Linked DNA regions of Daphnia pulex. The protein of the gene in region 3 interacts with the protein of the main gene of each other region in a pairwise test. Links are inferred from orthologs where the notes say so. Each region holds a gene or a part of one and is shown on either strand. Other genes may lie near its edges. The genes, in order: F-box/WD repeat-containing protein 1A-like, S-phase kinase-associated protein 2-like, S-phase kinase-associated protein 1-like and F-box/SPRY domain-containing protein 1-like.

Region 1 (4,272 bases), on a different chromosome or scaffold from region 3:
CTCAGATATGGTTAAATGAAGACAAAATTGCGCATTAAGTAAACTGGAATCCCCCCCCCCCCCTCTCCCGAAAGCACGGTCTTGTGGAATTTGGATAAGGAAACAGAAAGATAGAATTTGCCTCTGGAAAAGTAAAAACTTGAACCTCTTGGCTCTTGCATTGTTGCATATGGAGTGCGGTGATTGCACGATGCAGTGATGTCTAGCTGGCTATCTGCCTACAATTGTTTCCAATTTAGAACGACAGATGGCCAAGCTTGAAAAAATTTAACATTTTCTTTTATTTGCATCATTTTCATCGGAATTCTTACCTGCAAGCGCATCATCAAGGTTACCTAAAACCACTTCCGCCTTGAGTTTAGTCATATCTCTTTCACCCAACTGAATTACTGAAGGATGTTAACATACGATTACACCATAACCCATAAGGATATATAATAAGAACCCAATCTGGATGCTTGATGCTACAGCAAGAAAGGATAATGTCGCAACCACTGTTGATGACTCGATGGTGCCGTAAAATTGTGATTGCGAAATATTTTACTTTTAGTTTGCGCAAATATACTTTTCCTGCTTTAGATACTTGTTGACTTAACAGCAATAAAATGAGTGAATCGCTTTCTTATATGATGCGCTTAGAGTAAAGAATTGGAAATTTTCTTCGTGTTGATAAGAAGAGAGAAAACTTTATTTTAGCACAGGTTATTCAAGCGGGACAAACTTTCTACGAGCTTTCACTCTCGAGTCTCGACCTTCTGCCGGTGAAGCGAGTCTCGTCTCGCTTTCTTTTTACCACGTTTTAAATGCAGGAACGCTTCGACTAGCGACCTACAAATCTCATTATTTGGCTATGGCCAATATTCAACTTGGTCAATGATGCCAGTGTTTGGTTCTAGCCTTATTTTATTTATTTTATAATTGACAAAAGAGAACTGGATAACTCCTCTCTTCGCAGAAGTGCGCCATTTGTTCAACCGGTACGTTTTCCAGGTTATGAAATCGTGAAATCCGATCGTGTTCTACTATATACCACAATAATCATGCGATCGGACGAAGCCTGTTGATCGAGCACAAACTTGATGACTGCTAGCTAGGGTACGGCTGAATTGCTTCGACATCAAATAAAGTGAAAACGGCAGACCTGACTTGTTAGCTTCTCAATTTGGGAAATTTGAAAAATAAACCATTTTGTTAAGATAAATGTATTGTGAAATAGTTGTACATGAATTCATCGAATTTTATAAAAAAATGTTGAATTAAAGTATTACATTCTTTCAAACTTATTTCGTTTTCTAGGATTCATTGATGGTTGATTACTTTAACCATTGGCATCTTCTATAAGTTAGTGTAAAGAAATTTTCATTAAGAAAAGTTCTAATAGTTAATTGCCAAAAAATGAACATTAATGCTACTTTTTACTAATTCGGCAGTAAATCTCATTTGTCTCATTCTCACCGACTTCTCGGAATCTCGGTTCCTTTATCGACAACTCGACATAAAGGAAATTGTGCAATGTTGTGCACTGCAAGTCATCACAAAAGAGAAATTAGCGCACATCTTCTATTGTTGGAAATACAGTTAGCGCCACAGTGTTCAAATCGCCAAGCTTAGTGCTCACAACATAGTGACTCCAAGTCTCAGGTCCAACCAGTCGCAGGTTTTAGGGGGTTTAGACTCTAGACTGTTAGGTAACCCCGCCCCTTGGCTGCATTAAACAAGAAAAGTTCGAAACATGGACACCGTAGTCCGGAGCGCTAGCTGCGTTACATTTATGTCAGTTTGCCAGTCTCGAACGAACCTAGTGTAGAGGAAGTGGGGTTGGGGAAGAGAAAGACTTTTGTAGTATTTGGTATTGTCAATTTGCTGTGAAATAAGTGAGGAAGGAAGTGAAATGGAAGCTGAAAACATCGTGGAAGATGTTCCACCAGCGATTGGGGTAAAATCGTGCTCGCTAAATTCGTTCTTTAAGTTGAAGAAAAGCCTTGAATAAATCCAGAAGAAGAGACAGTGCTACTGGGAATGGCAGCCATGTTGGAGGCCTAATTTCAATATTTCCTTGTCAACTTCCGAGATTTGTCCTTGGTTCTTCTTTGCTCGTCGTTAGTGTTGTTATGCATATTTCTCAATAGCTGAAGTGTTTTGTGCATTCATTCTAGGCAAATACGATGCTCAGCCTTGTACGAAGCCGTTCCGAACTATCGTCCAATTACCTAGTTGAAAAGGAACCTTGTCTCAAGTGCTTTGATTCTTGGCCAGAATCTGATCAGGTGTGAAGACTATTTTTATTCTAGTTTATAATCATGTTCCTTTAACAATAATTGTTTCCCAGGTGGAATTCGTGGAGCAGTTATTGCAGCGAATGTGTCACTACCAACACGGCCACATTAACTCGTTTTTGCAACCAATGCTTCAACGAGATTTTATATCATTCTTGCCCAGTAATTCATGGAAAACAAAATTTGAAATAGTACAAATTAAACTAATTTTTATTTGAAATTTAGAAAAAGGTTTAGACCATATAGCAGAAAATATTTTAAGTTACCTGGATGATAGTAGTCTTAGAAATGCTGAACTAGTCTGCAAAGAATGGAGACGTGTGATTGCAGATGGAATGTTATGGAAAAAACTCATTGAAAGAAAAGTATATCTTTAAAATTATGAGTATAAGTTTGAAAACAAAATTTTAAAAATCTCTTTATAACAGGTACGAACAGATTCTCTATGGAGAGGCTTGAGTGAACGACGAGGATGGGGAGCCTATCTTTTCAAACCCCGTCCTGGTGAACAACAGCCAGATCATTCCTTTTACAGAAAGTTATATCCACGCATCCTTAAGGACATTGAACAAATTGAAAACAACTGGCGGTGTGGAAGACATACACTGCAACGGATAAACTGTAGATCAGAAAATTCGAAGGGTGTTTACTGCCTCCAGTATGATGACCGACGAATTGTCTCTGGGTTGAGAGATAATACCATAAAGATTTGGGATCGACAAACTCTCCAATGTGCAAAAGTTGGTTTTCATTAGTTTGCGAGATTTAATTACTTGTTTATTTATTGATTTACCTTGAAGGTTCTTACTGGACATACGGGATCCGTACTTTGTTTACAGTACGATGAGCGCGTGATAATTAGCGGATCGTCTGATTCAACTGTCAGAGTGTGGGATCTCAACAACGGGGAAATGGTACGTTAATTAAATCATTTTATAAAAAGCATTATTAATATTACCCATTTTAAGGTCAACACACTCATTCACCACTGTGAAGCCGTCCTTCATTTACGGTTTGCTCATGGACTCATGGTTACGTGTTCCAAGGTAACTTTAAAAGCTTGTAAAAATAGCATTTGTAAATATTTATGTGGCCTTTTAAATCTTTCAGGACCGAAGTATTGCTGTGTGGGATATGGTGAGTCCCACTGAAATTAACCTCCGTCGTGTGCTTGTTGGTCATCGTGCAGCTGTGAACGTTGTTGACTTTGATGACAAGTACATTGTCTCTGCCTCGGGTGATCGAACCATCAAGGTGTGGTCTACAGCAACCTGTGAGTTTGTTCGGACATTAAACGGACACAAGCGTGGCATTGCCTGCTTGCAATACAGGGACAGATTAGTCGTCTCTGGATCATCCGATAATTCTATTAGGTAAATGCCTTCAGCTTAACAATTTCTTGTAGATCTCATTTTCATTTTGTTGTAATGATCTTGCAGGTTGTGGGATATTGAATGTGGCGCTTGCATACGCGTACTGGAAGGTCACGAAGAATTAGTTAGATGTATCAGGTAAAGCATGAGTAACGATTCCCAAAATGATTATTACCATTTTTATTTATTGTCGGATGATTTTAAATGATTCAGGTTCGATTCCAAACGCATCGTAAGTGGAGCCTACGATGGAAAAATCAAAGTTTGGGATTTACAAGCGGCGCTAGACCCCAGAGCACCAGCTGGGACCCTTTGCCTTCGAACCCTCGTGGTATTATTCACTTTTAACATCTTGGTTAAAAATAATCCCTTAACTATTTTACACACGAACATTTTAGGAACATACCGGTCGAGTTTTTCGACTGCAGTTTGATGAGTTCCAGATCGTAAGCTCTTCTCATGACGACACGATCCTCATTTGGGACTTTCTTCACACAGATTCGCCTTCTAGTTTAACGCCATCATCACGTACCTCACCCCAGCGCACTTACACTTACGTGTCGATGTAAAAGCCCCTCTAGGTCGTGGAAAAGAGATACAGGCATCTAACTGAAGGGGTTAGC
Region 2 (7,837 bases), on a different chromosome or scaffold from region 3:
TAGGGGGAAAAGCATCGACGGGTGCTGTGCCTACGTAGCCATCTTCAGCAGTGTTTTCGCCAGGAAATTTACCTTGCCAAATATTAGTCCTGATTGGTTGTGAAAAAAAGGCTTACTACTAACTCATTTTTTTTTAAGTAGACATTGAAACACTACCAGTGTTTTCCGTAAGGATTTAATTTGTTCCCCCATGGATAAAGACGCTGCTTAAGTCCTCCCTGGCAAGCAACCTCCCACTCAGCTTCGGACGGTAGCCTTTTCCCATAAAAATCACAAAAGCTGACAGCATCATTCCAGGATATGTGGATTGCTGGATGATTCATTTTGTCTGCATGATTCAGAATTAGATGATAAAGGTGTTAATAAGAGAATTTAAAATCAAAACCTGATATAGAAGAATTTGGTCCTTCGGGGAATTTCCAGGAAGCATTTACAACAGGCATCCACCATGGGGCAGAGGCCACAACTTTGGAGATTTCAGATTTTGTTTCATCACTAAGGATTCCTTCAAAAACAAAAGAGCTCCCATATTTTTCAGCTTCAGTTACAAAATTAGAAATCTCTACAAAATCTGCAAAGTCTTGATTACTGACTACATGAGTATCAATGAAGTAGTCATCAAGATAGACTGAACGAGAAGGAGACTCCCCATCAGCTACAAAGACTGGTTCATCTGTTCCAATTTCATATACTCCACCTCTCACCATAACCATTCCTTCATGAGTATTTGCAGCACAGGAACCTTCAGAAAGATTTTCTGGTTCTTTTACTGATGGCTGAGATTTCCCATGAAAGCAGTCACCATTGGCAAAGCTAAGATTGATGTCTGAAACCAATATGAAAATCCAGAAAATTTCCAAAAATGAACTTTGCATTCTCCAAATTTCATCCTATAGTGGTCAATAAAAGAAGAAACACAAATAAAATTGAAATTTCAAGACTAAAGATGGTTTCAAGCCAATCATAATTTTACTATTTTAAATCAGACAAAAAATTGACAGCTACCCAAAGCTCGTAACCTATATGTTCAGAAAAATGGATACTATTCTTACATATATCTATAGAGTAGCTATAATTTTGAATCTAATAATTACGAATACAATACAGAAGAAGATTGATTATAGCATACACAACGACGACTTTGTTGTCTATGATTATAGCGTTCGTGATAAAATTCGAACCTCATGTCACGCATGGATGTTAAATGGGTTAAAGCAACCGTAAGAAACCTCAATTTCACAGTTGCATAACCTTGAATGTGTACTCAAGTGTACGCTAGAGGGCATCAGAAAACCTTTTTTGTCAACAAATGAAGTAGTGACTTTCCTGTTTCTTCTACTCTGATGCTTCGAATTATTTTTATTGGATTACTGTGATAATAATGGATCGTTCTGGGGTTACTTCTGGTAAAAAATTTCATAATTTTTGCCCAAATTATACTGAACTCTTTATTTTTATTAGCCAACAGTTACCTCAGAGGGGTCTCTGTAAAGATTAGCGAAAAGTACCGACCTCCTCGTAGACCCACACTTCCGCCTGGATTATGCTTCGAACCTTCTCCTCATTTATTTTCTGATAATGTATGAATTGATCCAATTTAAAAAATGATCAAAGATCACCTTATGTGTTGTTCTTTAGATTGACCTCATTGATGAAGTAAGTGCATTGAAGCTGATAGCCTCAATGAGAGATCTACATACACAGGAGACTACAAGAAGAAAGCAAAGTGTATCTGCATTTTTAGAGAGTCAAGCTGCTGTCGATGAGAAGGAAATTGAAGAGATCACTTCAGACCTTTCCTTGAACAGTCTTACTAACAACATTCCCTCACTAAGTGTTCTCAACTTGCAAGCAAGGAATGGGCAATTGCTACAACATACTCAGGCTTCCATGGAAGTCCTTACTCCAATTCAAAGCTCGACTGTGGAAATCAAGAAGAAAGAAAACATGTCTGCTATCAATCTAGCTGAATTTGAGAGTTATTCAACAAATCCTTTTGAGGAAATGGAATTAAAGACCTTGAATGACAAAGAAGAATTAGCCATGTTGCTCCAACCCAGCCCTCAGCCATCTTATGGACTACAGTATCAGAACTATAACCCATCAACAATTCCATCTTGGACTGAAAATGTACATATTATTTTATATTATTTTTCTTATTTTAGTTTTTATTTTTCACTAAAGAAAATAAAATATAATTTTTATTTTAGAGACATCAACCTGTGCGTCAATATGAAGCTGCAGCAAATTGGATTCCCAATGAAAGTTCATTCTTTAGTGTTGACAAGCTATCTCATGGGAACATCGCTATACCTGTAGAATTCCAAAATCAAGCAATCTCACATAAAAACTTACGTCAAGCTAAAAGTGTCCCAGACCTCTCTGACGTAAGTTTTGGGACGGGAGAAACCCCTATAAATAAACCGCCATTTACAGGTGTGACGGACAAAAGACTCAGTTCTCGCACTCCCCCTCCTCGTTTAACATCAGATTCTATAAAAAGACCAGTGCCTAAACCAAACTTTGATGTTGCATCTCCGTATGAAAGGAAACTGAACGCAATCGAAAAACGTTTAGTCCAGCAGCTACAAGATATGGGATTTGTGAGAGAAAATGCAGTTCGTGCTATTGCTCGACTTGGTGCCAACGAAAAGGATGTTGTTGATCAGCTTTTACTAATACAGAAACTGGAAGAATCGGGCCATTCCATTGAGAGAATAGAAACGGCTTTAGACGTTCTTAAGCCCTGTAAGGAATTACCAACGCAATTAGAACATCATTTAGTGTTAGTTGATCAGTTGTCTGCTTTAGGATTTGAACACGGTAAGATTAGCTCTGCGCTTGTTGCTGCTGGACACGATCGCGATAAAGCCTTGGATATTCTTTTGTTAAAGTAAATTACATTAAAATCATACGATGTTTATTTAGTTTTTTTTTTTCGTGTTCTTATGTCCTCAAGTCAATCAATATTTTTTTGTTCTTCGATAAGTATAAAAATCCAAATGTCAACGATTCTGTACTTAGTCTTCACCTTTTTTCTGCTGGAATAAATTGACATATGACATTATTCAACCTAATCAAATTGTCAAAGTGTGGTTAATAAAACACCAACCAAACAAATACTTTTGCGCGAAACGACTCGGGGTTTGGTTAATGAATAAATATACACGTTGGCGACATCGATGTCATTGCATAAATTAAAAGTTATTGATTCCGTAGCTATAGACATCTGTGATCATTCTGTCGGTTCACTCAGTTGTATTTGTATTGAATCTTTTTTGAAATTCGCTTCCTCCCTGGTCCCTTAAACTGGTTCCTGGATCCTAAGCAGAAGTAATTAGAATATTTCTATTACTCATTAGTCATTACTCTGTTCAAAGTTTCCTAAGTAACTTAATGTTAAAGTTTTAATAATATTCTTAATGTTAAAGTTATAATAATCAGTTAAAATATTCTACAAACAGGCATCATCGCATTGACACAGGCAAATTTGAATTCCCGCCGTCTTTGCCATACTTATTTTTTTCTAAATTGAATATTTTTCTTTCCTTACTAAATAATTTCGTTACTTTAGTATTAAAAGTAACTTTGGTTAAAATCTGTGGTAAATTTTAAGATTTTTGCTTACATTATTTTTTAAATTTCCGAAATGAATTGTTGAACGGTCAACATCGGATTCCACAGACAGTGTCTTTTTAGCGCGCGACGTGACGAGTTTGGACGTTGCTGATTGTAGATTTTTCTTTTACACGTTTTCAATATAAACGCAGTAATTAGTTTGAAGTGCCTTTTGGTTAAACATTTCAGCTCAATAATTGTTTCCAGTACGCTTTTATGTACCAAAATTTTTATTAATTCTCTCCCTTTGTTGATTTCGTCGTTTGCCCCGTTGCTACAAAATATGGCTAAGTTAAATACCGGGTTTAAACGGTGGAGTCTTGATTGCCATGACGTATCGATAGAAGTCATGGAAGATCTAGGATTATCTGCAATGGACGATGATTCAAACTCCTGTAGCAATCCATCAGTAAAACAAGTAGTGATCTCCAATATTCCTGAACCTGCTGTAAAGCGAAAAGAATGTTCACCTTTTGCTGTCCCGTCAGCTGTAATGGATTTTTCTGAAGATGACCAATCTAGTGATAGCTTTTTATTGTCTAAACGAATGAGGATGGATGGTCCCCCAGGAATTGATGGATTCTCACGCCTCTCAGACGAAGTCATTCTCAGCATATTTAAATGGCTTCCAAAATCAACTATCGCCAAATGTGCTCAGGTGTCAAAGCGTTGGAAACGACTGTGTTATGATGAAGTTTTATGGAGGAGGTTGGACCTTAGTGGCACCTGCCTAAAACCTACGATTCTAGGTAGTGTTCTTTTAAGAGGAGCACACATCTTGAGGCTAGCTAAGACTGAGGTAATTAACTTTTGTTTGTTTCTTTGTTATCAACTACTAATATTTAATTTTTCTAAACAATGTACAGATTTGTGATCCAATATATCCAGTAAGTCCTCTACTTCAAGAATTTCCAAGGTATCGAAATTTGCAATTTTTGGATTTGAGCATGGCATCTATTTCAACACAAGGTAATCTCACCAAGTCATAATTTATAGGAATAAGGGTACAAATTTGGACATATTATGCAGGTTTATTTGATTTATTTGATACTTGTAAAAACCTGAAGAAACTTAGTATGGAACATTGTGTTGTTGATGAAAGAGCATGCAAGGCACTAAGTCAAAATGAGCAGCTTGAAGTGCTGAATATGTCCATGTGTTATGGTGTTGGAGTTAGTGAACTTAAATGGATTGTGAATGGATGTAAGAAACTTGACAGTTGGAATTTAGCTTGGACAGACTTGAATTCTGAAGCTCTTCAGTTGATTAGTACATCTGCACCAAAATCCTTAGAACGCATAAATATCAGTGGTTGTCGAACGACACTTAAAGACGAACGTAAGTTTGTAATGTTGACTGGAAATTTGTGATCATTAAAGTTGAATGCCGAATTTTATGTTAGATGTCCTGGCCTTGTGTCAACGTTGTCCAAAGCTGGTGGAATTAGACATAAGCGACTCCACAGCAGTGACATCAATTTGTGTCAGCTATATTCATGATAATTTAAAGCGACTGGAATATTTGGCGATGGCTCGATGTTACAACGTGCCTCTCTCCGTGTATTTGTAAGTAACATTGGCGTTAGAGAGCAAAATTTGAAAGATATTTTAATCATTTCTATTTCCTTTAGGGTGTTTCAAAAGAGTGGTCTTTTATACCTTGACATTTTTGGTTTATTGACGGAGACTATGCTTGGAACACTTCGCGCCAAACTTCCGAGTATAGAAATCAACAAGTTTTATTTCTCTAGTGTAGCAAGACCTACAGTCGGAATTCGACGTACCTCAATTTGGGGGATGAAAGTCAGAGAGTGAAAAATTCAAGTCATGTTTATTGCAAAAATTAGTAATACATATTGATGTATTCAAAACTGGTAAAACAATTTATTGGCATTCAGCGGACTTAAACTTTAATTTTTTCTAAAAATTCAAATACGCGTTCCTTGTATGACTCTTCCTTTAGTTTTCCTATGAGCACATGAAATGGCCTTGCGCCTCGTAAAAATTCCCCTAAGTTATGACTAGTGAAATTTATTCGATGGTCTGTGATACGATCTTGCGGGAAGTTGTAAGTCCGTATTTTTTCTGAGCGACCGCTAGATCCTACCTGCAGCTTACGACTTGACCGAGTAGTTGCCAACTGTTGGTCGATTTTCATTTGGAAAAGACGAGCTCTGATTTTATCCATTGCAACCTTACGATTCTGCATTTGCGATCTTTGTGTCTGACATTCCGCCTAATTAAAAATGTAAAACATTTAATTGTTGATGAGAAATACTTCAGTTAGTTCGGTAAACTTACCACTACACCTGAGGGTAAATGGACAATTCGCACTGCTGATTCAGTTGTATTTACATGTTGTCCACCTGCGCCGCTTGCTCTTTTTGTTTCGATTTTAAGATCCTTAAAAAAAAGAAGAAAAAAAATGTTAGTCATGCATTCAAGGAAACAGAATTAAGTATTAGTAAACTTACTTTCTGTTCAATGGTCACGGAAACTTCCGAAGGGCGGGGAAGGATGGCAACGGCTACCGTACTGGTATGAACACGTCCGGCCTTTTCAGTTTTGGGCACCCGCTGGACCCGGTGTACTCCACTTTCAAACTGCAGTCGATCATATGCGTCTGAGAAAAAAGTAGGTAGTTGTATCTAATATATTAAACTAAATTTTTGAAAAGACATACCTGAATTATTAATGCAAATTGCAGCATGCCTAATACCTTCTAAATCACTTTTTTCAATATCTGTTAATTCATAGTCCCATCCTTCACTTTCACAGTATGTGATGTACATTTGTAATATTTCATTGCAAAACAACATGGACTCTTGCCCACCAACTCCGGCAGAGAATTCCATGATTATTCCCTCAGTTTGATGATTATCTTCCTGCAAAATGAGTTCTAACACCTAAATCAATGAATGGGTTCTTATCAATCATTTAAACTTGATTACTCTGAATTTATACTTCATTTTGGATCTGGACTAGGATTTCCTTTAACTGTGAAAATTCTTCACTGACCATTTTTGCAAGGTCACCATTTTTATCATCTAAGATACACTATTTAATATAGATTTTTAAATAAATATAACTAGATACACCTACCATCTGCACTCAAAGCTTTAAGCTCTTGTAGATCATTTTCAGTCTGTAATAGTTTTTCCCCTAATCCAGCAAGTGATTGGATGCGTTGTTTGTTTACTACACCTATTCCAGACTTTGATTCAATGTTTTGAAATCCTGATTCATCAAACTTTTTCTTGATATTTAATAAGAAAATTCGAAGTCTCGGGTCAAATATATTTTCGAATGATACTTGATTGAGATTTAAACTCCTATGTGAAATGGTTTGATTCAAACAGCGAATGGATATTACATTATTAGCATAGCTTTTGGCGAAACACGGTCGTCGTAAGGCACTTAGAACTCGTACTATTTTACTGGAAATACCCCAAGTTACCATTTTTAATGACTAAACTTTGATGGTAATTTGAATATATTTTCAACGTCTTCAAAATCAAAATCACAGTGAATCGCAGTGAATCCTTTTTGACGGTAGCAGACGACACTGGAATCTTGTTGATTGGTGAGTCAACTGTTTAGAAAAACCTGAAGGTGAGTTTAAAGAGTTGTTGTTTTGAAATTTGATTCACGCAGTGTGAATTCGTGAAACATGCGTGTGCGCGGGATTGATTTACACAATTAAACCGATCATACGTTGGAGATAAAAAAAATATCCTCTGCCCGTTATAGGCTAGTATATGCATCGCACACAAATATCTCTATGGCACTCTGTTAGTAATCGACAAAATGACTACGTTATTCGAAGTTAACACAAAGCTTACAGAATGTTTACATGATTTTGGGTTAGAATGCCACCCATTCAAGGTAATTTTTATTTTGCTTCTTTGTGTAGTAATTATTTTATGCAATATTTTTTTAACTTCTAATTAGAGTTAAATGCATTTCTTTATTATAGGTTGGATGGTACAATGAACGAGTGAAATCTGGCTTTCAATTAGAACACCATGAAGACACACTTTGTTTTGTGGTGATAAGTAGTCCTTCATTTTTCGAAAAAGGCTTTATACCATTTGTTCGTAACAATACTGGAAGCAATAATCAGGATTACCTTGATCAAGCCATAAGCTCTTGTCTTAAAACAGCAATTCAGGTTTTATTTGATTAAATAACATTGTTTTTTATTTATTAGTTTATCACTC
Region 3 (7,342 bases):
AAATTATAATGTTGGTGTGTTGTTTTAAGTATACGCTAAAGAGATCAAATAAATACACATATACATACATCGCATGAAGAAGCTTCCGGCCGAATGGATTTTGAGCCCATGGGGTATCAAGGTCATTGGTATTATTTTCGTGTATCAAGGTAGGAGTTGCCAGAAGGGCACCCAACGACCAAATGTAAGTCAAATCTTTTCTGCCAAACTGCGCAGCAACCGCTGCATTTTGGTTGCACATCCATGCCGTATCAGTATCGCTAAATCTGGTGAATAAAAATATGTAATGAAACTATGACTAAATCTGATTCAAGGAATTATTATACAAGAAAATATATAAAAGATAAACTAACACATATCTTTCTGCTAATTCTAACTGCTGTGGCATCAATCCAGAAGCATCGTAAATCGTCACCATTCCGACCACCTTATGATGACGTGCCTCTTGAGCTCCCCTTTTATTTTCGTCTGAAGACGAGCTATAAGAGGAAAGTCTATTTTTCGACTTAGAAGTTCGAGATTTCTGTCTCTGAATGAATTACAAAATATTTTGTTATTTAATCAGCAATGGAATTATCTCATTAATAAAAGGCTAATGTCAGCAATCACGGAAATACTTCCAAGTATAGCCTACCCTGTCTTGGTTATAAAAAGACGAGATGCTGACTGACGGATCACCGGTCGGACTTTGAGCAACGGGCGGATACAACAATCCATAAGGAGTCGTATTTGATGAAGCTACCAAGCTATGCTGTACCAAGTTTGATGAATAAGCTTGGTTCACGGATAGAGAACGAGGTGTAGTTGAAGTGTCCGAAGTTTTACTGTTCACACGCCTTCAATTATATAAATAAAATAGAACTGATGAATTCCTAGTCGTACGATTAATCATTTCAATTAATCAAAAACCTTAAATAGGATGGTCGACCAAAACAAATCAGCATACCTGTATAAAATAAAACAAGGGCAAATCAATATAGCAGTTTGCTGAAGGATATTTTTATGTTTTTTGTTTTAATGACATTACCAGCACTGCAAAATCGAGCACCGGATGACCGAGGGTATGGAATATTGTGGTCTTGATGATGAGTTAGACTACCAAATAAACCGCCATTCTGTAGGAAACCAGGATGCCCAAGACCAGTTTGCGGTAACCTAGAAAACAGATTCGTTAATTATGTTTAGTAGCATATTGAATATACGTTTCATCTAAGTAACTAAATACGAATTAAATGTTACCTGAAAGGAGTATTTCCGGTAGTTGATGAGTTGACATTCAATGTTATGGTCTTTGACGATTCCGTTTCTGACTTATCAATTGGTGTTAACTGATCGACTGAAATTAGAAGTTGTTGTAGCACGAGCTCTATAGACGGATGACCTTTGCGGCACGATAGAGTTGCTGCTTGTTTCAAAACCTGTACAATGCCGCCGTGTCAAATAAATCTTTTGAGTTACGCAAGAATAAACTCTCTCGAAATACTTTTAACATTTTGCTTCTGGCATTGTTGTCAATAGTCGTTCCTTTTCCGAATAGAAAATTTGGAATCGCTCCGTCGGGATACGATGGAGGCATAGAAATATGAAGTATTATTTGATGCTTTGCAGTGCGAATCACTGTTGTTAAGCTTCGTTGTGTCTCGTCTACATCGCAAACACTGATAGAGTTATCAGTACCAATGGAACCTGAAGAAACAGAAAAATAACCACAAATTTATTCCAGGGAAAAGTTTACGTATTCAGTTAATTACTAATAGTTCATTTGGGACATAAATTTACCTAATGACTTAAGTTGGTCGATTTCCTTGTTGAATGAATAATGTTCAGGTTGAGAAATCGCATCTATTCCGACGATGCTACTGTTTATTGACAGCGCAGACTTCTTTTTCCGATGGGATGTTGGTGATAACGTGTTGGTTAGTACAGCTTGTGCTGCAGCTATAGAGGCTGCTACAGTTTTATGTCCAGCTAGGCGTAACGAGTCAGGTACAATTATAGACGGTGCCAAACTATGGTGAAGGTCTAAATAGGTTTCTTCCACTACTTCAAGCCCAACTTCAATGTCTTTGTCGCTTTTTGTTGAAATTGCGTCAACAGCTGAACATATTAAATAATTAAATAATACAATATAAAACAGATTTTTCATGCTAATAATTAATGAATTTATGTCACCAGTAACGTCATAAGTCGATTCGTTTTCTTCATATACGATTTGTGGTTGATTTTCAGGTTCATAGCCACATAACTGGCAAAAAGAATATTTTTAAATATTTTTTTACATAAACCAGAAAAATAATTGAAATTTGAATTCGCCCTACTTTTTGAAGGTTAACATCCACTCTCCAAATTCGTAAGCTCTGATCTTTTGACCAGGTGATAAGTTGATAGTCGTCGTCATCTAAACATATAAAAATCAAATAATTTCAAAGTCCAAAAATTTAAATTTGAACGTTTGATTATACCGGAACGGGAAGATTTCCAATCAAACTCAAGAACTAGATCGTTATTCCCAAGAAACGAATGAACCGGATTAGACAAATCGGATAGACTCCAAAGTAGCAAACTGTTTTCTCCTCGTCGTAATTGTGTTGTCATCATGCCATCGCCAAAGGGCTATACAGGCAAAAGAAAAAAAATATCGTTAATTAGTAGTTCTATTAACTATTGATTTATCACACACAAATAACTAAAAAAAAAAAAAAAAAATTAAGAAATTGTCATATTTACAGTAAATCGCGCTCGCCAAACCGGAGACACGGTTCTAAGGGCATTCTCGACTACACGGGGATTGTTTACGTCAAAGAATTTAACAGTACAATCTTGACTGGAAGTAGCAAGCTGATATTCTTGGTTAGCACTCCAGTCAAGCCCATGAATTTTGTGCAAATGTGCCGCAATGTATTGCACGGGGGAACTCCCTTTCCGCCAGTCCCATAGTCGAACGTCTCCCTCATGAGCAGTTGCTAGTAAATGGCTGGTAACGCGGTTCCATCGCACTTGAGTAGCTCCAACTGTAAACAATATTTAGACTATACAGATCCTATTTGTATTATACTAAATTTTGTCCCATTTTATTTTACCTACGGCAGAGAGGGAAACGCATGGCTTTCGAGGGTCTCGAATATCCCATATGTTAATATAAGTGTCAACTGAACAGGAAGCCAAGAGATAAGGTTCAAAATGATGCCAATTTAAATCGCTGACTGCACGCGTGTGGAAACGTAAACAATAGAGAGGTGTGAAGTCAATAGAATTCCATGAAAGAATCTCTGTTCGTTGATTGCTCTATAACAGAAACTGTTCAAAAATCTGCATGGTAAATGCAACATTGAAGTAGTACAAATACCGATATGGCACATAGGTGTGAAAGATGTGAGTGTGGATTCCATTCAGCTGATCCAACCTCCCATTTGCTTTGACGAGGAAACTTCTTTATCACTACTGATGGATTGTCAACATCAACAATTGCTAAGCACCTTCGTCTTGAAGAGTAAAATATAAAAACAAAAAACAATTAATAAATTATGAATGAATTGGAATGTCAAAGAGTGCTTCAATCATATCAAAATTATTAAATGAGTTATTCAAAAATTTATTTACCCAGCCAATAGCACATATTGTCCAGAACTATCAAGAGCCATTGTGCTTGCCTAAATGAAAGAACCCACTTGTTATTATTTATTTTTGTTTGTAAAGTAAAAAAAAACAAAATTAAAACAGTATTATTACCTGTAGATCCTTATGTTCAGCAACTACATATTCATTACTCCATTTGGCTGCCATTTTCTTCTCCCTAAGAAAAAATTGAAGACATTAAAAAACAAGTAAACTGAAAGCTCAGAAATTGAAACACAAACACAAAGATAATGTCATTTCAAAGACAGAGTAGAGAAAATCTCAGTTAGGTGACTTAGCCTATATTATTGAATAAAATTCCCATTTGAGAACACCATTTTTCCATTATAATTAGTATTAAATTTACAAACTTCATTAAATCTAATTATTTGATTACTTTTTTTAAATTGAGGAGTAGAAATAGAAAAAGTTGAAAGAAGAAAATATAAACAGAACAGACGAACCGAAAATTCATGAGGGCGTAACGCGCAAGCAAGTAGCAGACGATTCAAGGATTTTTTTTTTTTTTTTTTCGAATTCAAATCGATTCGATTCGATTCAAAGGAACTTATTGAGAATGCTTCCGCATTCCGGAGTGGTGATTCAATCAATGTCTCATCATCTCATGACCCTTACATAATAATACTACTGATCATTTTAAGTTAAAATCTATAGTTAATTTTTAAATAGACTTTCGGCAACCATCAGCACGCACCAGTGAACATTTTCTTCCGACTTCCCGTGAACAATTATTTCTACGAAGAAAATGCAATCTATGCACATTATAAGAAACACTACATATTATGCATACAAAACGTATGCAGGGAAAATTATAAAATTAATGGTCAAGCCGTCAAGGTATCATGCCTATCATCTACCTATGAAAACCAATGATGGTGTCTAACTTGCAAAGCATTTCTAGTAGCTAAGCCCGGATATAATCCGCGAGTCCCTTTATCTTTTTCTTGATATGCTCATTTTCAGGAGACCATCTAACGAAACAAAATCTAAAAATAATGCAGTGTTCAACACACTGACACACACACACACACACACACACAAAAAAACCAAAACTTGTACATTATAATTGGCAAAACGGGAGGTTGTCTAAAGCACGAGCTGTTTTAAAACATACAGTTAATTCACCAGTGCACTACGGAACTTCGTACAACTTGTTCTTTTGTTTGACTATACACTTAAAACTGCTTTTTAATTTATTGTATTCTTGGCTTGAAAACATGAAGTTGGATACAAAGGTACATGTAACATGTGAAAACAAAATTTCGTCGAGATAATTTACTTTTCTTCGCACCACTCGTTCTCCTTGCGTACTTGCTCTTCCTCACTAGGGGTGAAATCGTTCTTGATGTTGAAGGTCTTGCGAATCTCTTCTGGGGTTTTCCCCTTGATCATGTTTGCAACAGTCTTGCAAGTAACATCCAGCAAGCCTTTAATATCCAGATAATTGGCAGCCTAAAAACAAAAATATGTACATTACATTTCACTAACATTTTTAACTTAAAACAATTGTAGAATGTTTTCATAGGTGTGATATCAGAAAATGAACACTTACCAAGATGAGTTCAAACAGAGTTCCTTGATCTACTTTGAGGAAATCAGCATCCCATGATGAGATATCATCAGTACGTTTTTCCTTATTGTCATCATCCTCTGGTGGTGGGGGGTCATCTTTGTGGTAAGTTGCCCACTGAATTACTTTACGTAGAATAGCAGAATTGACATTGGGTAAAGGAACAACTTCTTCGTCATCTTCATCCATTCCTAAAACCAAAATTGAATTTCAATTGAACGTTACCTTTTTTAAGCATTTGAAAAGAAAATAATGACGCATTTGCCTATAAATATCTTTGTGGTGCAACTTTTGATTTTATTTGTTACATTAACATTAAGCTTATTGAAAAATATTACCTAGATCCTCAAGCATTGTTTTGATTGTTACTGAACACTTGGCAATTTCGACATCAACCTCAAATGTTTCTCCATCGGAACTCTGCAGCTTGATGTTTGGCATTGTGTGAATTGTGTTTGTTCTCTGAAAACTGAAATACACAAAAAAACTTTTTGATAACCAAAAGTCCAGCAGCAAAGAACAATGAATGGATCAAGCCCTCAGGAGAACCAGCACACACATTCCAAACAAAAATAACAGTCAAGAAAATCACATCATTATGGGAATTATCTCAAACATTATGGGTACATTTTCGAGTTTCTAACTCTCTAGTCCGTATTGTAATAATGTTGAGAAAATTAAGCTTGGAGTTCAACAAAAAATTAAGCAAATTACGTACTTTTCTATAAAGGTTGCTCTAGAGCAAATGGCGCTGGTGCTGGTCTGAAAAATGTTCAGTAAAAATGAACCCTCCTCTCCTCCCTGTTTCGCTCTGTGATGGAAAACATCACTGCAACTTTCGCATCGCATAGTATACACTCGGAGGGGAAGGGGCGAAAGTATACCAACAGTCATGTTAAAGCGGTTTTTATGAAAAACGTGTTCTTTTCCAGTTTTCGAGATTTTTGAGTTTTGACTTCTGTGTATTCTACATTTCTTTTTGTTGGCAAATGGCAATATATAAAACCAATTAACTGATTTTTTTCTCTCTCCGGTTTTGCACAATTCGAGATGGCCAAATCCCCAAAATATTTTTTCCAAGCCATGGCGCCATGCGCAGTTTCCCGTAGGGATTCTAGTCACAGTCGAAGGAGGCTCAGTTTCGACACGCCACCGCTGCAATTCAAACTGCAAAATTCAATTGCAGTAATTAGACACTTAAATTTACGTAATTGTGACACCAATCACGCAAATTTTTGTAGGCATTAGATTTAAAAAAGAAATCTCTTTAAAATGGATCACATTTTACGAAGATATAATATATTCATTTTTTAAAACAGCGATTCTAAGTCAAACGGGGCTCAGTTTCGAAACGCCACCGCTGCAATTCAAACTGCAAATTCAAAACGACACTAAACATTAATACAAAATTTACGTAAATGTGTTACTTATCATGAAAATTTTTGTATGAAAGAGATTAAACAAAGAAAGGTCTTCAAAATGGATCACATGAAGATATACTAATAGCTGTATTTTTTACACAGCGATTCAAAGTCGAACGGGCTCACTTTCCCGGCTTGATGTGTGTCAACCCAAAGCTATAGTTTGCAGGCCTAACAAGAAGCGAATTTGGTGGCAGTTTTTACGACTGCCCGGCGGCCTTGTATACATGTAGATCCCCACCAAACGTGAACAGAAAAGCGTCGGGTTTGTTTGTTTACGTTTAAAAGCAAAGTAAGTTTTACCAGTTTTACTACTGGTTTAGACAAACAAATTGGTTTTTTACACATTTTTTGGTATGCCTCAAGTCCATAGATAGTATGTAGAATTTCAATTTGTGAGTGCAATCTACCACAATTGACAAACATTTCTTACTGAAATATTTTCCTTTCCCTTTTTAGATGCCTGGAGAAGATCAAATGGAAGATGAAGCTGAGACTATGACATTCCAGGCCAAGATTGCTCAGCTTATGAGCTTGATTATCAACACCTTCTATAGTTGATCTCCAACTGCTCAGATGCCCTAGACAAGATCCATTATGAATCCCTGACTGACCCAAGCAAGTTGGATAGCGGCAAGGATCTTAAAATCAAGATTGTCCCCAACAAGAATGACTCACTCTCATGGATATGTAAGTTGAGAAATTTGAAAAGTTC
Region 4 (7,663 bases), on a different chromosome or scaffold from region 3:
CCAAATGTGTACCACGTATCAGGCCCTTGTAGGAGAATGTCTTCTTCCAATTTCCACACATCCCGACCTCGTTGTTCGGTGTCTTTGAGAAATTTGACGTTTGATCTCAGACGATCTGTATCAAACTTTAAATAACATTCAATGCGTATGGCCTCCGGATGCAACTCCAAAAATATCTCGCTAAAATTTGATCGGCCGCCTTTGTTGTTCCACCAAATACGATTTCGACCAGACTCCGGTGCCAGTGAAGTCAAATAAACACCCGATCCGTTAACATAAGCCGTTTTGGCATTGGACTGTATAACTTTGCCGTCCTTGAGAATTTTCCTGAGGTTGTCGTAGTTTGTGTAGTGGTACAAATACTGAGGCGGAGATTCCACGCTCGGCGTGGAAGTACTTGGTCCAGATGGCTCCTATTGTTGAATGATCCAAAAGTTTAATTAATTACCAAGACTTGAATAAATTAGCATAACATTTCTATAGTTAAAAAAAACTCATCTATTCCACAGTTAATAGTTATCTCACTTTCAATCGCTGTAGCTTATCTTCTCTAGTTTTCTTATCAAACAGTCGTGACACGGAACGCTGAAATATGTGTCAACGTTGCCAAATTCTTTCATTTTAATTCGTACCGCTAAGTTCGTTTCTCCAGGGGTATGGACTATGGAGTCTCTCCATACCCATGGTCTCTCTAAGCCCATGGTTTAAGCCGGACGACACGCTAATGATAAATTATTTTCAGCGGATTTTACTTTCTCTAGAATGTTACATTACACCGTAGGTCTATCCGTCTATGGACTATGATTGTATAACATTCTTTGGTATGCATCCCTATTGACTAGTGCGTATGACGTCATAAATCGTCAATTCGAAGGGGGGGGGGGGGTCCGTAAAGATTTTTAATAAATTATGACATCCTAGACACACTGGACAAAATGAGCCCTAAATTACGCTTCAGTTTCTTTTCTTTTCTTTTTATTTTCCGAAATGAAATGAATTTAATCATTTTCTATGTTGTAATTGAATTTTAGTCACGATGGCAAGTACATCATTAGCGGTTCAGAGAATCAGTACATTTACATGTGGAAGACACATCATGATTACGCCAAATTCTCTTCGGCTCGTCGAGATCGCAACGATTATTGGGAAGCCATCAAAGGTACTATTACCTAATCACTACCATTTTCTTGTAAATTAATTCTCTTTCAAATTGAATAATCGACTTTTCTGCATCTATTTACGACAGCGCACAATGCAGTGGTGACATCGGCCGTTTTCGCACCTGATTCGCATTCACTGATTGAGCAAATGGAGCGACATCGAAGAGAGAAGGAAGAGGAAAAAGCTTCCTCGTTATCAGGAGATGCGTTGATGGGTCGGCGATTAGCGGGATCGGCGACAGCCGATGGAGCGAAACCAAACTCAAATGTGGAAGGAGGAGCCTCTTCCGGCAACGGCTACGTTCTTGTCAGCGCGGATTTCAACGGCTGCATTAAAGTGTTCGTCAATCGAGTCAAACCGAAGCATAGTTCTTTGCCCGTTTCTGCAATGTCCTAAAAAGAGAAAAATAGTCGAACGGCTTGGAAAATTTCAATCGACAATGTAGTCGTTCTTCTCAGTCGACGTGACGACAACAGATAAATATGGTTCAGTTTGGAAATTATGAAATTATCGCGCAACCCAAAGAAACTATATAATAATTTAGCATGCCCATTCATTTATGGCAATGAATACACGCCTCCGATTATCGAGTGCGTGATTATTTAATTCAGAAAACTCTTCCTGTTTGAACCGCTCTTCATTTTTGACGCTAGATGGTAGAGGCATTCAATGTTGTCCTTTCTTGCGGATTGCCATTGGGCAGCGCAACAGAATTCCCGTCACAAGGATTTTTTTTTTTTTTTGGTCGAAAGTAAATCGACGGAAAACGTGTTTTGTTGGTCACACAATAGAATATCCAATCCACCTACCTTAGGGTTTGGAACCCCTAAGGCGATGTACAAATAGAAATTGAAAATGGGGAGGAAATGACCAGCTGTCTTTGCTTGTGAATCGAATAGAACTGAAAATTCCGGTGGTACATGACACTTACACTTCGCTTTATGAGGTTGATGAAGGTCAACGTACACAATAAACCATAAAAGAGGGGACGAAACTTTCTTTGATTTTGACCTATTTTTGGAATGATATTGCTTTTGCGCTTTGATTAATTCAACATGCGAAAAACCATTAAAGCCTTTACTCGATCGTCGTTCGATTTGATGAGCGTAATGGAAATACAGTTAAACAAACTTTTTTGTTTGACCTTCAAGACAGTTTTTGACCAATATGTTGCTAGAAATCTAGGATCCAAGTGCCCATCAGTACATTTCTCAGTTAGAAGCGTTAGAAGAGAAAAAATCACACATGAAGTAGTAATGAGGCTAGAAAAAACCTAAACGATCGAATCCATTCGTATACGATGGTAAATGTAGGAGTACTTAGAAAACCTGATTCCTTACTCATTGGTTAACACCTTTAAGTGTTTGAATAATGCTTATTTATAAAATTAAATAAAGGCAGTGTAGACAAGTCATTTTTCATTTATTCGAGTAATTAAACACGAATTAGATTTTTTTATTCAAAACGCCAAACTTTGGGCAGTAAGAGGTTCAGTTATTCTTTAGCATCATCACCAGTCCCAAGTCATACAAACATACACAGGGAAATTTTAAGTTATACAAATCTATTTCGCAAGTAGCAGTCAGACCGGACGATTAACCATTTGTTGGTTTTCGGTTGAACGTGAAAACACAACCACACGAAATTTGAATTGTAACACACTACAATAATCTGACACACACCAGGGAAATCATGAAAAAAAAAAAAATAATAAATAAATGAAGAATGGGAAAATACGGGAATGTTTTAAGTCAGAGCGGTATTCCCAACGCAACCTTTGTACACTGAATTTTGGGATTCTTTTACAACAACATCCTTTCTTGGTTGGCAAAACGCATTTGCCTGTAGAAATTGATTCACACAAAGAAATTTTCTGTTTAGGAGAGGGGGACAGGCGACAGTTAGCCATCCAAGGGAGGACCCAGGTAGACCATTGAGACTTCTGTGTGCCCATAGACTGCCGACACCGAAGGGTATAAGAGCTTCTCTGGTAAGCCCCTAAACGCCACTCCGAGGAATTCATAGTTTCTTTCGAAAGCTAATGTATTGTCATCACAGTCAAGAATGACTCGTATCCGCTCCCCAACCTGCAACAAAACTTTAGGTTAGGTTGATTCAACTCATTCATTGGTTAGACTCAATCACTTGGTATTTAGGTGCATTGTTCAGCATTGGGTAATTGCCTTGGGAATCTCCATTATGAAGTAAATGATTATCAACCAAATTCCAACCCCAACTTTGGTCATCTGATCCTAGTAAAGCTATGTATCCATGTGTCTGTGAACATGGATTTTGACAATTATTTTTAGATAAAATATTCAAATTTTAACACAATTATACCTGGAGAGTTGCTTCTTTAGTTGCAATTCCAACAACTGCAACTGTTCCAAGAGGACCTTCCCACATCACTTCCCAGGCATGCCTACCTTGACTGAATCCTGCACAAACATTAGTTGAATGGATTAATATGTACACTTGCAACAGGCATCTACAATATTTAGTACTCACCAATTTTACCTCTCACAGCATCTGTACTCTGTGCAACAGGGTTTCTGTGTATGGTAAAACCATTGGGTTTGATATAAATGTTTCTAGAGCAGTCTTCTGGGTTCCAAGCATGGTGAAATGCTTTTAATTTTGTTTTGTAGGTAGGAGCGGAAGATAGGAGGTCTGAGCTCAGGACTTCTTCTGCCAGTTTTCGTATGCAGTGCAGTCTCCAGACATCATTGTCCTCATCATTCAGTATACTGATTCAAATAATAATGTGCAAGGAGAACATAAGTTTCAAACAATCGCTGGTTTTGTTAGCAACGGTAGATCACTAGCGAATAGTCACAAACTGGTGTTGATTTCAAGAAAACTTGTACCTGTACCACCGTTTGCACACCAACGAACTGCTTCTTAAATCCTGCAGCGGCAAATATGAGAAAATATTTCCTAGTATAATATCTGGTAGTATATCCACGTGCATTCTAAACGCCGGCTCGCAAACACTTCAACATTCATTTAGGAAATTTCTTTCGATTTTTTCTGCAATTGACAATACTTCTATGGCAGAACCGGTGTTGCCACATTGCCATAGCAATTGATCTGAAATAAGAAAACCGAACAAAAATTATGAGAATCTAAACAACTTGATAAAACACTGAATTACACCTGTGAAAAAACGATATATTAATATCAAACTACTTTTTTACTAGTTTTTAAGATAAAATAATATTTTAGTTTATGTTTGAAATGGTTCCCGCGTATCCGGAAAAGCAGACGACGTTTGATTTTACTTAGCCTTCTGATTTATGATTTCATTCATATTCATGCTCGATTTCAATAAAAATTTAACGCTTTTCCCATGAAATTAATCAAATTAGCACTTAGTTATTACGATACATTTATTACGATAACTGTATTAACAGCCAAATTAAAAAAATAGACCAATTTAAAAGAGCGAAATAAAAAAAATATATTTCAGAAATTAATAAAATAAAATAACGAAATCGCTGAACACTTGCCTGCGCTTAATTAATTTCCTCTTTCTCCTTCATGTTTTAGCGCTACTTAGTATTTTACATGAATATTTGAAAAAGAGAAAAGGAGAAATTAAACGAGCAAGGAAAATCGAAAATCATTTGTTCATATTTTTGTTCTCACCCAACGACCCAAGGTCACGAGTTTGTTTGAATTTCGAATTTCTGCCCGTTGAAAGTATCGATTTTTTTTTCATTGCAAATTGCGATAGATAGAAAGCGAACTCATGGAGAAGTTAGAATTGAATTGAATCCCAGTCTCATATGACGTACATATAAGACGCTCACTCAGTAAACCCCCCGGACGAAAAAATAAAGAAAAAAAAAATATAATAAAAACTAAGCCGTTGGCCTGCTGTGCCATCATCACCCCCTCGTGCATTTTTGCCTAGCTGCCTGCTGATGCTACAGCAGTGTGTGTCTAGTGACGATCGTATAAAGTTGGCCCAGAACCTTAGGTAAACCCTATTGTCTCTTTTGTTTTGGATTGAGGGGATTTTTATTTTTTATTCATAAAGTGAATTAGATAATAAAGGAGGATACTATTTGTCATTGAGCTTGGAAAGTTTAAGTGAAGATGTCTGCAAAAATCTTAAAATAAGGGGGAAAACTTACCGGTGTGGGGTATCGACTGGTGATGGCGTTTTGGGCGCCATTTCGCTCATCGTGTTCTGAAATCATTTGGAGGAATAAATACGGGGAATTTCCATTTTAGTCTATTTAGATTCTATCATAGTTCTATATGAAATTTGATGATATCTGTAATTTGACAGGAAGTTCGAATTATAACGGCGCTCAGTTGATCATACTTTTGGTCCCACCCACCAAAGATGCTTGTTTGACAAAACATTGTCAGCACATTGGATCTTCCTTGATCTCTTCTCTTTACAGTTAAATAATATAAATAAATTTACAAGAGGTTAAGGAGATGGCACAGTCAACCCCAACTGGAAACATCACCAACATTTGGATCCAAGATGCAAATGGTATGTCAAAGTCTAGACTAAGAAATTATCTCATTCTTTTCAACAAGATAATAAAATGATGGTTGTTTGCATTCCAGGTCAGCCACAAATGATAAAAGTGGTGCATGCCACTGCTGGAAAAGGTGTTCCAGTGTCCATGGCTTCTGGAGCAGTTAGAGCTGTTCTGCGATCTAATGTAAGTCAAGGATGTGCTTGAATAAAATGTAAAAGATGTTAACAATGTTGGCTGAAAATTTGTTTAGGGAACCGTTTTGGCTGCCACACCTCAGATGTTGCAGTCACTTGGCAGAGTGACAAGAGCACCTGGACCTCGTGGACAAGTGGCAGCTGGACAGATACTAGCCATACCATTATCATCAGGAAATGGATCTACTCCGAGTAACAAAAACACTGCTGTACAGTTACCAGTAGTGCCTGTTGTGTTGAGCACTCCTCAACGCTTAAATCAGCAACAACAACAGGGCAAAAACTTCATTTCCCCAATTCTTGATCACAGTGGTTCACGAAAAAGGCAAGATCCTGACCATGAACATGGTTCTGAGAGGTAACTTTTCATTTTATTTTTCAAATGAGTAGTTTTATGAGTAAACTCATTTTTAATAGTAAACGGCGTAAGGTAGACAAAGGAGGCAAAGGATTACGTCATTTCTCGATGAAGGTGTGTGAAAAGGTTCAGAAGAAGGGTACTACAACATACAATGAGGTTGCTGATGAACTTGTAGCTGAATTCACTGATCCATCTCGTTGCACTTCACCTGCTGACCAAGTTAGTATCGTATTAGAAATTCATCTTTTTATCAGTGAAATAATGTTAATTTATTGACAGTATGACCAAAAAAATATTCGGCGTCGGGTTTACGATGCACTGAATGTGCTCATGGCCATGAACATCATATCGAAAGAGAAAAAAGAGATCAAGTGGCTTGGTTTACCTACAAATTCGTTGCAAGAATTCCAGGCACTGGAAGCGGAGAAGCAACGTCGGCTAGAAAGAATTAAGCAAAAGACGCAACAATTGCAAGAATTGGTCCTTCAGCAGATCGCCTTCAAGAGCTTGGTTGTTAATGTTTTTTCTAGTAAAACAGAAACATTTTACTGACACGTCTTGTTTACCTTTAGGTTCAAAGAAACAAGCAAAATGAGCGTCTTCACGGTGGCCCTGCCAGTAATTCTACCATACAGCTACCATTTTTGGTCGTAAATACTAGCAAGAAAACAGTGATTGACTGCTCCATATCTAGCGATAAGATGGAGTATCTCTTCACCTTTGATGATACTTTCGAAATTCATGATGATATTGAAGTCCTTAAGCGAATGGGCATGGCCCTTGGGCTTAACGAGGCCACTTGTACTGAAGAGAATCTCGCCAAGGTATTTTTGTTCTTTTATTTTTAAAGTTTATCTTAATTTTTAAATTTTTCTCGTTTTAGGCCAAGTCTTATGTTCCAAAAGCGTTGGAACATTATGTAGATCAGTTGGCTAGCGGTCAGGCCGAGCCACAGTGGCCAGAGGACGTCAATCCTGTGGTTAAGGAAACCTCAGATCACTTTGGAAATCAAGGTGTTCGAGCAGTTACACCTACAGCGTCGGTCTCAACAGGTTTCTCAGACTCCGAGGATGACGATGTGGATGACGATGAAGACAACTCCGACGTGGAAATCAATTAAAGGGTGTGGTTCTACTGATGCGTTGTCTCATTGCGTCCATTTCTACTGTCGCTTTACATGCGGCTGTCCTCGCTGATTGGATGCATTTCTCTTCGCTTGTTCTCGGTTCAGTGTTTACCCTTTCCTTAGAACCTCCTTTTCAATGTCGCCAATTTAAGCCAAGTGAGAGTATCCATCGATGATTTTCGTGGGAATCTGAACCGCGTGTGTGTGTCTATTAAGATGACGGAGTGAGCTCTTGTCGGTATAGGAGACCGCATCGACAACTGGAAACATTGAAAACTCAGGTGATGAATATTTGCAAAAGTGCCTGTCGATGTATTTT

Evidence for each region.
Region 1: the proteins of S-phase kinase-associated protein 1-like (region 3) and F-box/WD repeat-containing protein 1A-like interact in a two-hybrid assay, tested with the Drosophila melanogaster proteins (3 studies listed by BioGRID). The link is inferred for Daphnia pulex from reciprocal best matches to the Drosophila melanogaster genes SkpA and slmb.
Region 2: the proteins of S-phase kinase-associated protein 1-like (region 3) and S-phase kinase-associated protein 2-like interact in a two-hybrid assay, tested with the Drosophila melanogaster proteins (2 studies listed by BioGRID). The link is inferred for Daphnia pulex from reciprocal best matches to the Drosophila melanogaster genes SkpA and Skp2.
Region 4: the proteins of S-phase kinase-associated protein 1-like (region 3) and F-box/SPRY domain-containing protein 1-like interact in a two-hybrid assay, tested with the Drosophila melanogaster proteins (2 studies listed by BioGRID). The link is inferred for Daphnia pulex from reciprocal best matches to the Drosophila melanogaster genes SkpA and Fsn.

The regions. Positions count from the first base shown.
Region 1 is NC_060024.1:7,565,569-7,569,840, reverse strand, and holds the start of F-box/WD repeat-containing protein 1A-like, read left to right. Parts: upstream 1-1,472; 5' UTR 1,473-1,891; coding exon 1,892-1,936; intron 1,937-2,156; coding exon 2,157-2,267; intron 2,268-2,329; coding exon 2,330-2,438; intron 2,439-2,501; coding exon 2,502-2,641; intron 2,642-2,704; coding exon 2,705-3,016; intron 3,017-3,076; coding exon 3,077-3,190; intron 3,191-3,244; coding exon 3,245-3,322; intron 3,323-3,386; coding exon 3,387-3,649; intron 3,650-3,715; coding exon 3,716-3,787; intron 3,788-3,862; coding exon 3,863-3,980; intron 3,981-4,047; coding exon 4,048-4,218; 3' UTR 4,219-4,272.
Region 2 is NC_060018.1:4,258,509-4,266,345, forward strand, and holds S-phase kinase-associated protein 2-like, read left to right. Parts: upstream 1-3,672; 5' UTR 3,673-3,901; coding exon 3,902-4,417; intron 4,418-4,484; coding exon 4,485-4,587; intron 4,588-4,647; coding exon 4,648-4,956; intron 4,957-5,020; coding exon 5,021-5,183; intron 5,184-5,248; coding exon 5,249-5,432; 3' UTR 5,433-5,488; downstream 5,489-7,837. Other genes in the region: peptide chain release factor 1-like, mitochondrial, read right to left, coding at 5,521-5,853, 5,919-6,020, 6,092-6,240, 6,301-6,523, 6,582-6,664, 6,720-7,077; cyanocobalamin reductase / alkylcobalamin dealkylase-like, read left to right, coding at 7,425-7,502, 7,594-7,788.
Region 3 is NC_060019.1:12,030,187-12,037,528, forward strand, and holds S-phase kinase-associated protein 1-like, read right to left. Parts: upstream 6,083-7,342; 5' UTR 6,056-6,082; coding exon 5,925-6,055; intron 5,676-5,924; coding exon 5,545-5,675; intron 5,398-5,544; coding exon 5,189-5,397; intron 5,089-5,188; coding exon 4,912-5,088; 3' UTR 4,819-4,911; downstream 1-4,818. Other genes in the region: GATOR complex protein WDR59-like, read right to left, coding at 69-266, 354-529, 635-836, 910-946, 1,028-1,155, 1,240-1,418, 1,484-1,686, 1,780-2,097 and 9 more; heat shock protein 90-2-like, read left to right, coding at 7,310-7,317.
Region 4 is NC_060023.1:5,714,004-5,721,666, forward strand, and holds F-box/SPRY domain-containing protein 1-like, read right to left. Parts: upstream 4,229-7,663; 5' UTR 4,133-4,228; coding exon 4,029-4,132; intron 3,909-4,028; coding exon 3,670-3,908; intron 3,600-3,669; coding exon 3,502-3,599; intron 3,439-3,501; coding exon 3,307-3,438; intron 3,249-3,306; coding exon 3,063-3,248; 3' UTR 2,565-3,062; downstream 1-2,564. Other genes in the region: WD repeat-containing protein 44-like, read left to right, coding at 1,032-1,159, 1,247-1,557; transcription factor Dp-1-like, read left to right, coding at 5,614-5,671, 5,749-5,846, 5,914-6,215, 6,275-6,437, 6,498-6,728, 6,791-7,042, 7,102-7,338. UniProt on the Drosophila melanogaster protein: Required in the presynaptic motoneuron to down-regulate the levels of wnd and restrain synaptic terminal growth at the neuromuscular junction (NMJ). Negatively regulates the localization of vas to the posterior pole of the oocyte.